3 linked regions of the Yarrowia lipolytica genome follow. The protein of the gene in region 1 interacts with the protein of each later gene in a pairwise test. Links are inferred from orthologs where the notes say so. Each region holds a gene or a part of one and is shown in the gene's direction. Other genes may lie near its edges.

Region 1 (3,333 bases):
GAGCCCAAAGGATAGAGAGAGATAGACAGACGCAACCATGACCAGCCTTGGCGGTGGTGGAGATTTGTGGAAGGAACAAGTAAATGATAGAGACACAAATGGGGATGCAAATGTGTTGTTTCTTCCGTCCCATTGTCGCTCGCTCGTGTTGTTTTTCAGAAGCACCTCTTTTCCCACCCAGAGCGGCTCGTTTGTCATTGTCACTGGCTCGTCGCGTCTATCGCGTAATTTGGAGATCCATGGTTAAACACTCAAGTCAATGTCTAAAGGCAAACTGGTCGTGACGGAGTCAACCTCAAACTTTGAAGAGAAGATACGGCCTACAGTTACTTGTACGGTACTTGTACTTGTAGACTGTGTGTGTGTTGGTTGAGTGGTTGTAATGGCAGTGTGACATGTTGTCAACTACTGTAGCTGTGTAGGTACTGCCTAGTATCGTGCATTCATAGTCGTTAGAATGCAATTGACAATCGTCGTAGTCCTTCAAACCATCACAAACACCCCTAAAGAGCCAGCTGCTTGTTGACCAGATCGGCCACCTCCTTCTGACGCTCCTCAATGAGCGAAATCTCGCGCTGGTACTGCTCTAGCGTCAGCTCAAGATCAGATTTGCGCGCGTCCATGTCTACCTTGCGCTGCTTGATGGACTCCACTACATCTGTCAGAGACGGAATCTCCGGCACCGAATGCAGCTTTTTCAGCGCCAGATTATGAGCCTCGTGATCAGTGGACTCCCGGTACTTAGTTTCCGACGTGGAGTCATCCTTGAATACACCCGACGACCGGAACTGCGACTTCTCCCATCCTCTCCTGTCCTCCTCGTCATCTTCACTTGCAGTCAACTGCGCCTCGTAGATGGCTTCAGCCATATCGGCTCTTCTAGCATCGGCCTGGTCCGACACCCCAGACTCGCCAATCACCAGTAGATCGTCCTGAAAATCTCTCCCCTCGGATATAGACAGATCCGAGTCGTACCCGTCATCCAGAGACGCCGTGTAGCCTTCTTTGGATGTGGCAGGCAAGTCTGTGTTGCTGTGTTCCATTCCCGACAGTGAGATAAAGTCTGCGGAGGAGGAGGGCTCGTCCTTGGTGTCTGGTACACCCTCGAATGTGACCTTCTTGGTTGTCTTGATCTCTCCGGTAGTGTCAGTTTTGAAGCTACCAATCTCCTCTTTCGTTTGCAGGTGTCCAAAATTGTTCTTCATCTCGTCCAGCTCCTGCTGGTACTCGTTGGAGCGGGTCTGTTCGTTTTTGACCAGCTTGACGGCCTTGATCTTCGATTTGAACACCATACTGGGCTCTTCATCTGACTCTTTCTCCGCAGATTTGGGCTTGGCGGCCTTCTTGACCGTTTTGCGCTTGAACGATACCGTGGGCTCCTCGTCCGAGCTCAGATCAAGCTTGATTCGTGCCATGGCTGGTTGGTGAGAGTGATGGTGGTGATACTAGAAGGTGCATGTTCGTAGTGCGAACCTAAAGAGAACATAGGGCGGAGACGGGGTGTGGTTAATGAGGTGTGTGAAGCAAGTGAGAGAGAAGTGGAAGATTGAAAAATAATTTAATCATAATTCTTCACAAGCTGACAAAAAAATTGGCTCGGTATCTTCGCTGTAAGCCTTAGAAATAACACACGTCTCTTCTCGCTCTCAGTTACTTAGACTATACTTACTTTATACATTTTCAGTTGGGCTTTTTGTTAATGAAGATTATCCAACCAACTCTACCAGATTGTCACACAACACACAATACCAGCTAAAGGGCTGTTTTTTTCCGTTGAAACTTGAAAACTCGCATATATACACCTCTGCGATCCGCTCCAACCACCCCACTAGTCTCCAGAGCAGTCTTTCGGCCCCCTACCAACCACCTCCATCCCACATATGCGCGCATCTCAGACGCACTAGAAAAGTGTGACGAAATAATTTCGCCATCCAACTTTTTTTTTTCCAGACTTGCACAACAACCGCACCTTTTCAAAATGTCCGCGGATGATTTGCACGCCAAAATGCTGGAGGGGCCCAAGGCCAAGCTCTTCACGTACGCGGAGGTGGCCGACCTCGTGGACGTAGCAGGCGAGAAGCTGGAGGCGTGGATCGCGGAGCTACACAACTCGTCCAGAGTCAAGGTGCTGGAGCAGGGAGGACAGGTGATGCTGCAGGCCGTGTCGATCGAGACGGCTGACATTGTATCCAAGCTCACGTCTGACGAGTACATTGTGTACAACTACATTGCAGAGTCGGAGCGTGACGGCATCTGGGTGCGGACCATCACAGCCAGGTCCAACTTGCACATCAACGTGGTCCACCGATGTCTCAAGTCGCTGGAGCAGCAGCACATCATCAAGATGGTCAAGAGCGTACAGCAGAAGACGCGGAAAATGTACATGCTGTACAACCTGCAACCCTCGGCTGAGCTCACAGGAGGTCCCTGGTTTTCCGATGCCGAGCTCGATTCCGAGTTTGTCGATCTGCTGCTCGACGTGGTCTACCACTACTGCGAGGAGAACACAAACCTGGCGCTCGGGGCCAACGCACCACCCGTGCATGTCACAGACATCAAGCAGTTCATTGTCGACCAGGAGGTGTCACGAGTGGAGCTGGATGAGGGCCATATTCGAATACTGTGCGAGGTCTTGGTTTACGATGACCGTCTGGAAAGATGCAAGGCAGGATACAAGGCGACTCTCAATGGCGATCTTCCCGACGAGGAGCTGCCAAAAGACGCTTACACCGAGTCTGTTTGTGGCCAGTGTCCTGTCTTCAACGTGTGCAGCGCCGGAGGACCGGTGGATGTGGAGTGCAGCTACTTTGACGAGTGGTTGGATTAATAGGGAGGATGATCTGGAAACGAGGTCAGCAACAAAAGTACAGTACAAGTAGTATTAATTTATAGCATAGAATAGTAAGCGGTGTGAGGTGAGAGTAATTGCAGCAACGAGTCAGGTATCCGGAATAGTGAAGATGACTGGTACTTACTTAGGATAGAATATCATCGAGTATTCTCCCTAGAACAAGTACGAGTGGTATATACCCTGGATCAAGCAGTCGGCAGATGTTTACCTCCATTATCCTCACTTCAGCATCGTCATTAATCATTTTACTACATACTTTCACCGTTACACACTACTTCTTCTCCCAGGCCTTGAGAAGACCTTCGAAAATGACGGCCAGTCCAAGAGCTCCAGGGTCAGGAATGTTCTCCAATCCCTCCTCGTTCACATACGAGGCACGGCCAAAATTGGCAGGCAGCTTGGAAGTCTCGTCGGCGCCCTTCCGAGCAGCCTCTACGGCCTTGGCGAAGTCCTTGGTCTTGCTGAGGGTCTCTACAAAGGGA
Region 2 (3,965 bases), about 130 kb from region 1:
GGTCTTCCCATTAAAGCTGACCTTCAAAGCTGACCAAGATCATTGTAAACCACTTGTCGGTAGTCTGTCAACCAACATCGACTTCTGACAGTACACATTGCCACAACAGGAGGTTCAACAACGCAGAAATAAGACGATATTGACCCCACTTGATGCCGCTGAAAAATCCTGATCCAGACAGTCAACGCTCAAAATGATAGTGTTATTTGTTCGAGATCGAAATGCGGCCCTGCTGTTCTACTACTGTAGGCCTGAACAAACGCAGATAATGTGCGGTGAAAGCCGACCTTCGATCGGCCACCACATCCCCCCTGTCCGCTCACTTGCATACTCACTCTCTCTTTCTTGGCCTCCTCAAACTTCTTCTGGGCGTCAGTCAGATACGGCTCTTTAGGCGTTCGGGTGGTCTCCACTGGCGAGGTGCTCGCGGCAATCTTGGCCTTGTCCATTCGCTTGGAGGACGATCCCGGAATAGGGATCGCGCCCTTGGTCTCCACAGAAGGAGGAGTCTCCGAAATGGACTCTTTGGCATGCTCTGTATCGTGAGGAGACTTGGCGATATCCTTGGCTGAAGGCAGTGACATTGTTGGTGGTGATGAGGATGGTGCTGGTGCTGGAGAAGACGTCTTGGAGATCTTTTTCTTTTTCGACTTGGTTACTTTGCCCTTGTCGCCCTTGAGTTTCAACCGACCGCCCGGCTTAGTGTCGTAGAGGCCCATTATAAGGAAGCAGCGGGATCACGTGAATCTGACGTCACGATAGCAAGGAAGAGCGCCTGCGCCTTGTCTGGATCTCTGTGGGTTGGGGTTGGAGGTGTAACGGAGGTTGGGTTTGGTTTCAGATTGTGCTTACTAACCGTTCAGGGTACGGGTAGATCTCGTTGGTGTTGTTGCCGGGATTGTCGGTCGGAAAATCTCGGACTGGACGAGTGGGTCCACTGTGGCAGGTAAGAGGTGAAGTGAGGTGATGTTTTTGCTATCATGAAAATGGGGAAAAGGGGAAAATGGGGAAAATGGGGAAAATGGGGAAAATGGGGAAAATGGGAAAAATTGGGGAAAATGGGAAAAATTGGGGAAAATGGGAAAAGTTGGAAAAAAATGGGAAAAAATGGGAAAAACTTGCAAAAGTAATTCCCGATAACACAAAAAATTGTGGTTTTCTCGCAAATTTTACATGTATAAATCCTCGTCGCTTGTATAAATATCTTCTTTTTTTACATAAAATAACTGCCATTTGTTATTCTCCCAATCTAAATAAATTAATTAAACAGCAAGTTTAGAATGACAGCAATATCCAAGTGATGTTACCTGGAGCTACAAGTACGAGTACAATACGAGCACGAGTACTCGACGACCGTCTAAGACAGCTAAATCTCTGCCAAATACGGCGTGACTCATTAGGACACCAGATCACCAGCCTTCCTGACGCTCAAACTCCACCGCTACACTGCACGTTCTCTGCTGCTGCGTCCCGTTCTAGAAGTGGGAGTTCCCATTGTGGCAGTATAAGCTTATGTGATTGGCGGCACGGTGAGACGGGCGATGCGGGTATAATGATGGGACCTTGTTTATGGGGCGTGTTTGTGGGGGTCTATCAGAGTATGGGGAGGTTTAGGGCACCATGTAGACGGCGATATGGGCTAGGGGAGCGGTTCGGGGCCGTTGTTGTATTACTAAGCCGTCCGGTGGTCTTATCTGTGCTCCCTCCTCCTTCCCCCCGTCCAGATCCACGCCTTCCCCACCTGATCAGACTATGCATGTAGGCGCTATACATCCACCACGCAGTCCTGACATGACATACATTTGGACTCAAACTCAGCCAGTCCCACAACCGGAAAAGGAACATCAAAACGACCCTAGTCAGATCAAACGCCGTCGATTCGACCCTCCACGACACTCAGCAATACTCACACGGCCCGCCCAAGTTACACAAAGCCGCCGGCAACACACATCACAATGAAGGTAAGTGGTTGGAGACGGTACAGAGATTGTGTTCGATAAGCTGTTTGGCGAGGTCGGACGTCTTGGGGACGAAATGGGATACCGAGGGGGGTTTGTGGCGATTGATTTTTGCCCTTCAATCAGTCGAGGTTGGCGATGAAGGGGTGTTTCTTGAATGTTTATCCCTCAGACACCGGCTAACACGCGACGAAAATCACTCAGCGCGTGTTACCGGGGTGGTGTGGTGATAAGAAGAGGTTTCAGGATGTGCAAGTCGATTTTAGCAGACAGAGTTGTCGATACACACGAGGATAGACACACAGAGACATACAGAGAGGCACACAGAAAGGCGCACACAGCGACACACACAGAGAAACACGCAGAGGGTACACGCAAACATACCGTGCTCTCGACAAGCGACACAGACACAAGCCCAACCACAAACCCAGATGCGCATCTTAGTCTCTCTATCTGTGCCGTGATTGCTCTTCCCCCATCTCACAACCCATCAACTCACACTAACCCAGTTCATACAAGATCACACACTCGACGAGGTGGCATCAGCACTCAAATTCGACACACCCGAATGCCACGTTTCCGGCAACATTGACCTGTACACCACCAAACCCGCTTCCTCGGACAAGAAGCTGTACAAGGTGCTCGACAAGCAGCTGTCGTACCATCAAGACGCGCTCGACTCATTCACCTCCATCTCCACCCTCGGCACATCTTTCTCTCCCCCACAAGTGCTCACCTTTGACAACTACTACCAATACGGCAAATCGTTGGACAGCAGCGTCAGCAAGATGAGCAATCGAAGCCCCAAGGGCGTGAGCAAAGTGCCCAAGCAAAGAACCTATTCTTCCTCGAGAGCAGGCGTCTCTGTCGGCTCGCTATCGCCTCTACTCTCCTCTCCCTTTGGAGATATGAGCGAAACTGCCAGTAGGAAGGTGTTTGCTTATCTGATTGCGATTCTCAATGCGTCAGACCCTAATCACGACTTTTCCGTGCTACAGCCGGACGACTTTCAGCGCGAGCCGAGCGCATCGGCCGTGATTTCGTCCTTCAACAACGTGCTGTTCGGCCTGGGTATGCCGATCCCGCCCCGGATGTGGGACGTACTGGACAAGAGCATCGAGATGCACAACTGCACAATCTTTTCCTTCACGCCCGACGCCACGATTCTCGCCGACGAGCCTGGCGCCCTGTGGGCATTAAGCTGGTTCTTTTTCAATAAGAGAATGAAGCGAGTCGCATGTATTTCTCTCAACGCAAGGAGGCATTCTCTGTCGCCTACGCTGGGGCCCAAGATTATGAGGTCCGATGTGATCAACGGTGACGACGAAGAAGATTATGATCTCACGTATTCTTCCGACACTGACATGTACGACGAGATTGTCGGAGAACTTGATCTGGAGTAGTCCAGAGCACATTTTTATTTAACACAGCAGCACTCGGCCGAGAACACCACTCAGTTTAACAGTTCAACAATGTTCGAGCCTATGACGTTTGATTTTTCAACATATGAGTAATAAATGTATACCAGGTACGGTGGAGAGAGTAGATATGGCATTGGCGCTGCTGTGTATTCCCGCGAGTGCGCTGTGATTCGCTTCCCATCAGCTATACGCGGTCGGGGCTGGGTCAAACTATCCAATCATCTGTGTTGGACCAAGACATCGGCAATTCGCTCCCCGCCCCGTCAATGGCGTAATTGGCTGCCGAAGCGACATTGGTGATTGCGTATCGTGTCCAACGATATCCCCTGAGTCTATCGTGCATAGGCCTCGGTGTGCCTGATTGATAACTGGCTTCTATAGGTTCCATTACGGGGTGGAGGACGAGCACCGTGTGATGGACAGAGATATACAACGACTTGGGCTGGTTGCCGGGTTGTTTCTGGTGTTTCTATGTTTACAATTACCACAATATTTCTAGCCCATCTAGTCATTGTTGTGGTCTTGCTTTTGCGATGAGCGCATGCAAAATGTACCTGAAGTAAACAGATGTGTTCCCTGGCTCATG
Region 3 (3,973 bases), on another chromosome or scaffold:
CCGTCTTCTTAGAAGGGTCTTCTTTAGTTCTCCAAGGTTGGAAACTTTACCTTTGGCTTTTTTTGCGTTGGGTGCGAGATTATACAGGACCGCACACACTCACACACACACACGCCCTGGGGGAGCGACCGACCACCACCGACTGCACCCGTGGTTCCTCCCAACGCTTAAACTCCAAACCTTGTCTTGGTCCAATGTAGGAGGAGAAGCCGAGCATGTTGGTAACCCTAGTCCACTGAGGGGTAGAAAGGGAGTGTTGGAGTGGACGAACAACGCGTGGGAAATAACATAACAAAAGGCAAAGGACAGTCCGCCACAGGCCAGACCCATATATATATATATATACACAACCAGACACCACATGGCACCACATGGCACCACATATTCTGTGTCGCAATCGGTATCAAGCTGGAAATCATTTGTCTCCGTAAACCGCCGCTCAACACCACATTGTAGTCACTCCGTTGAGCTCTACACTGACCCAAGCACCGGTAGCTCCCTATGGTCGTTGCCGATTCTTGGCCGCCGTGCATTTCATCTTATGCAAAACCTCCCCCAACCGAGGCAGGTCCAAAGTTAGAGAGGGGGCGTGCCTGGTGGTGAGTGCAAGAGTCGGGAGTATGTCGGCTCCGTCATGGTTCTGGGGAGATCGGGGGGTTTATATATTCGTGGATTGAGCACAAACACGACACCGCCACGACACCACCAACACCGACACCACCACAATTGTAGTCATGATTACTTTCAGCTCTGGGCCATCAGTTGTGACAGGACGCGTACACTCACTGTACCTTCAAGTATGGGTGAAATCGGAGCTGCAAAAATGATAGGCTTGAAAAATGCTGAAAAAATGGCTAAAAACCAGCTAACAGCTAGCGGTCCGACCACACAAACAGACAGGGGATGGGATGCACTACTGTCCATATACAGCACAGCACAGCACAGCAAAATACAACGGAAAAACGTCGGTTCAACATTTCAACAATCAATTCTGTCCCAAATAAAGCTCCCATTATAGTTGTGCCGCCGGACCAACCATGTTGCATACCTGACAAGTGCAAGAGATGCCGAACATAACTCGAGGTGGGGTAAGGCCCGAGAGCAGAGATGTGATGTGACATACACATAAATGGGCCACATGCCGTCTTCCAGGCAAAATTCCAGCCGTATTTGTGTCTACAAGACCCTTTTAACGGACCCAGAAGTTGGGTTGACAAAAGCTAAAATTATTTAATTAGAGTTGTGGTATTTGCCACCTGAAATATACACTGAAAAATATCGAAACAGTCTTAAAATCTCACCACCACACGTCTTGTCGAGTCGTGTGAATATACAATGTCTTTTTCCGACATCTCAACGCATGTCATGTATGTACTGTACACGCTTGTTGGCGCTCATGCACGCCGACATCTCATGAACGATACTCTTGCAGGTATGTCGGTTTTTCCGAAAATGACTTAGCCACACGAAAGTTCGAATCCCACCGATGACATTGTTTATGGCGTTTTTTAGCGTCCATGTTTTGGGTTTCCCTTCTGTAACCAAAACATGGAAGCAGCGAAAAATCAGGAAAATTCGTATCAATTTTGATAAAATAGTTGTCATTTCGGAAAAAGCGCCAGAAATGGAAGAAAAAACCAAATATATAACACGCGTATTTCTTCTCCTTCAAACCGTCGTTTCACTTCGTGTCAGATACTCTCCACTTTCTCTTCATCCCACATAAACTCTAGATGCATATAAAAAATCCATCTTTGGCTTACATCACCTACCAACTGTTCATTTTCGTCACTTGCACACCTTCAGAACACTGTCCAGCCACCATGAAGTGCCCCAGATGTGGATCGACATCGATCAAGCGAGACGGAAACGACTCGTCCTGTGCCAACTGTGGTGTTGTCGTTGACGACGCGCCTATTGTGTCCGAGGTGACCTTCGGAGAGTCGTCTTCTGGAGCTGCCGTGGTGCACGGTTCGTTTGTGGGAGCCGACCAGTCCGGTATCCGAAACAACAACTTCCACGGCGAGTCACGCGAGCTGACTTTACAGAAGGGCAAGAACCGAATCACAGCGCTCGCACACGCCATGGATATCCCCCAACATATCATTGAAAAGGCCCATCGGTATTTTGTTCTAGCCGTCACCAAGAACTTTGTCAAGGGCCGACGGTCACAATACGTGGTTTCGGCGTGTCTGTACGTTGCCTGCAGACGAGAACTGCGACATGAAATGCTTATTGATTTCGCAGACAAGCTATTTTGCAACGTGTTTGCTATCGGAACCACTTACCTGCAACTGCTCAAGACATTGGACATCAAGAACCTGCCACTGATCGACCCGAGCATCTACATTCAGCGGTTTGCGTCCAAGCTCGACTTTGACAACGCAAAAAACGTGCGAAACGACGCGGTTCGACTTGTTCAGCGTATGGGACGTGACTATCTGGTTGAGGGTCGTCGTCCTGCCGGTATCGCCGCCGCCGCATTGCTGCTAGCAGCTCGAATGAACAACCAGCGTCGGTCCAAGACGCAGATTGCATTTTACGCCAAGGTCGCGGAAGAAACGCTTCAACGACGTCTGGACGAGTTCAGACACACCGAGGCTGGTCGCCAGACCATCTCAGTGTTCCGAATGACCAACATCGAGTCGCAGTCGGACCCGCCCTCGTACCAGAAGCATCGAAAGCGGGAGCAGGAAGGTATTGAGGAGAAGGTTCAGGACGAGATTGACGCGGAGATGGAGGAGATGATGGCGCAGATGGTGGAGAAGAACGAAAACCCGGAGGAGCGGGCCAAGGAGGCGCTATTTCTGGAAGACACTCCGCAGGAAAAGGCAGAGAGAACCGTTCAGAACAGAGCCCAGTATATCATTGAATACGAGCGAGAACGGCGTCGAATGCTCAACGAGGAGGCTAACAATGCCGCCACAGAGGCACTTCTGGCCATGAAAACACCCCATGAGCAGATGATGGAGGATCAGCAGACAGCCGAGAAGGAAGGAGGCGACGCCAGACCTCCAGTGGTCGAGTCGTTATCGGATCTCGACGACGATCCCGAAATCGACTCCATTCTGCTCAACGACGAGGAGCGTAACATCAAGGAGGCCGTCTGGACCACCGTCAACATGGAGTACCTGCAGGAACAGGAAACCAAGTTGTTGAAGATCGAGGCCGACAAGGCCGCTGGAGTGTATAAGGAGCCCAAGAAGCGAAAGCGACAGAAGCAAAAGGATGGCGAGAAGCCTGCTCCTCCCAAGGACGCGGCCGAGAGTACTAAACAGATGGTGCAGCAGCGAGCTCCTTCAAAGAAGATCAACTACGAAAAGTTCTCCGGACTGTGGAGCAAGCGAAAGAAGTTGACTTGATCAGAGGGAAAAAAAGTGAGACGAGAATTGCATATAGCTAACATTAAATTATTGTGTATTTGTACATATTGAGGGCACGGAGAGGTTTTATTGAGGGATTTGGAGTTGTGATATGAGAGGAGAGTTTCAACATGATGCACCAAGTGATCTGTCAATGGGTTAAACTATTTCGATCGATACAGCAACTTCGACTTATCCAGTCGATTCACTTGTCAGGCTAATGGGTTCTCTTGTAGGATCTTCCACAAAGGCATTGAGCATCGCAACCATTCGGAACACATAAAAAACTCTAGTAGAGTAATCTAAGACTGCGCCCAAACCTGTCTAATTCAATATACACCAATATCATTGTTTATACAAATATCGCCATATGGCATGCATCCCCTAGTTATCCTCTTCATGGTGCCTAGATCTTGGCGTGGTTCTCAAGAGGCAGGTTGTAGGGAGGAATGACCTCGATCCAGTATCCATCGGGATCCAGAATGAAGGCAATGTACTTCATTCCACCCTCGTCCAGCTGCTTCTTGAACTTGACGCCAATCTTGTTGAACCGCTCACAGGCAGCCTCAATGTCGTCAACAGTAATAGCCAGATGGCCAAAGCCCTGGGGC

The links.
Region 2: the proteins of YALI1_F12946g (region 1) and YALI1_F14213g interact in binary tests that used the Saccharomyces cerevisiae proteins (3 or more experiments, as listed by UniProt). The link is inferred for Yarrowia lipolytica from reciprocal best matches to the Saccharomyces cerevisiae genes RPC34 and MAF1.
Region 3: the proteins of YALI1_F12946g (region 1) and YALI1_E28599g interact in a two-hybrid assay, tested with the Saccharomyces cerevisiae proteins (2 studies listed by BioGRID). The link is inferred for Yarrowia lipolytica from reciprocal best matches to the Saccharomyces cerevisiae genes RPC34 and BRF1.

The regions. Positions count from the first base shown.
Region 1 is NC_090775.1:1,293,273-1,296,605, reverse strand, and holds YALI1_F12946g (uncharacterized protein), read left to right. Parts: upstream 1-1,978; coding exon 1,979-2,827; downstream 2,828-3,333. Other genes in the region: YALI1_F12951g (uncharacterized protein), read right to left, coding at 504-1,415; YALI1_F12917g (uncharacterized protein), read right to left, coding at 3,123-3,333. UniProt on the Saccharomyces cerevisiae protein: DNA-dependent RNA polymerase catalyzes the transcription of DNA into RNA using the four ribonucleoside triphosphates as substrates. Specific peripheric component of RNA polymerase III which synthesizes small RNAs, such as 5S rRNA and tRNAs.
Region 2 is NC_090775.1:1,419,408-1,423,372, forward strand, and holds YALI1_F14213g (uncharacterized protein), read left to right. Parts: upstream 1-1,955; coding exon 1,956-1,961; intron 1,962-2,467; coding exon 2,468-3,361; downstream 3,362-3,965. Other genes in the region: YALI1_F14201g (uncharacterized protein), read right to left, coding at 189-719; YALI1_F14207g (uncharacterized protein), read left to right, coding at 1,301-1,762. UniProt on the Saccharomyces cerevisiae protein: Mediator of diverse signals that repress RNA polymerase III transcription. Inhibits the de novo assembly of TFIIIB onto DNA.
Region 3 is NC_090774.1:2,858,201-2,862,173, forward strand, and holds YALI1_E28599g (uncharacterized protein), read left to right. Parts: upstream 1-1,733; coding exon 1,734-3,362; downstream 3,363-3,973. Other genes in the region: YALI1_E28631g (uncharacterized protein), read right to left, coding at 3,769-3,973. UniProt on the Saccharomyces cerevisiae protein: General activator of RNA polymerase III transcription. Interacts with TBP. Binds to Pol III subunit C34 and to the TAU135 component of TFIIIC.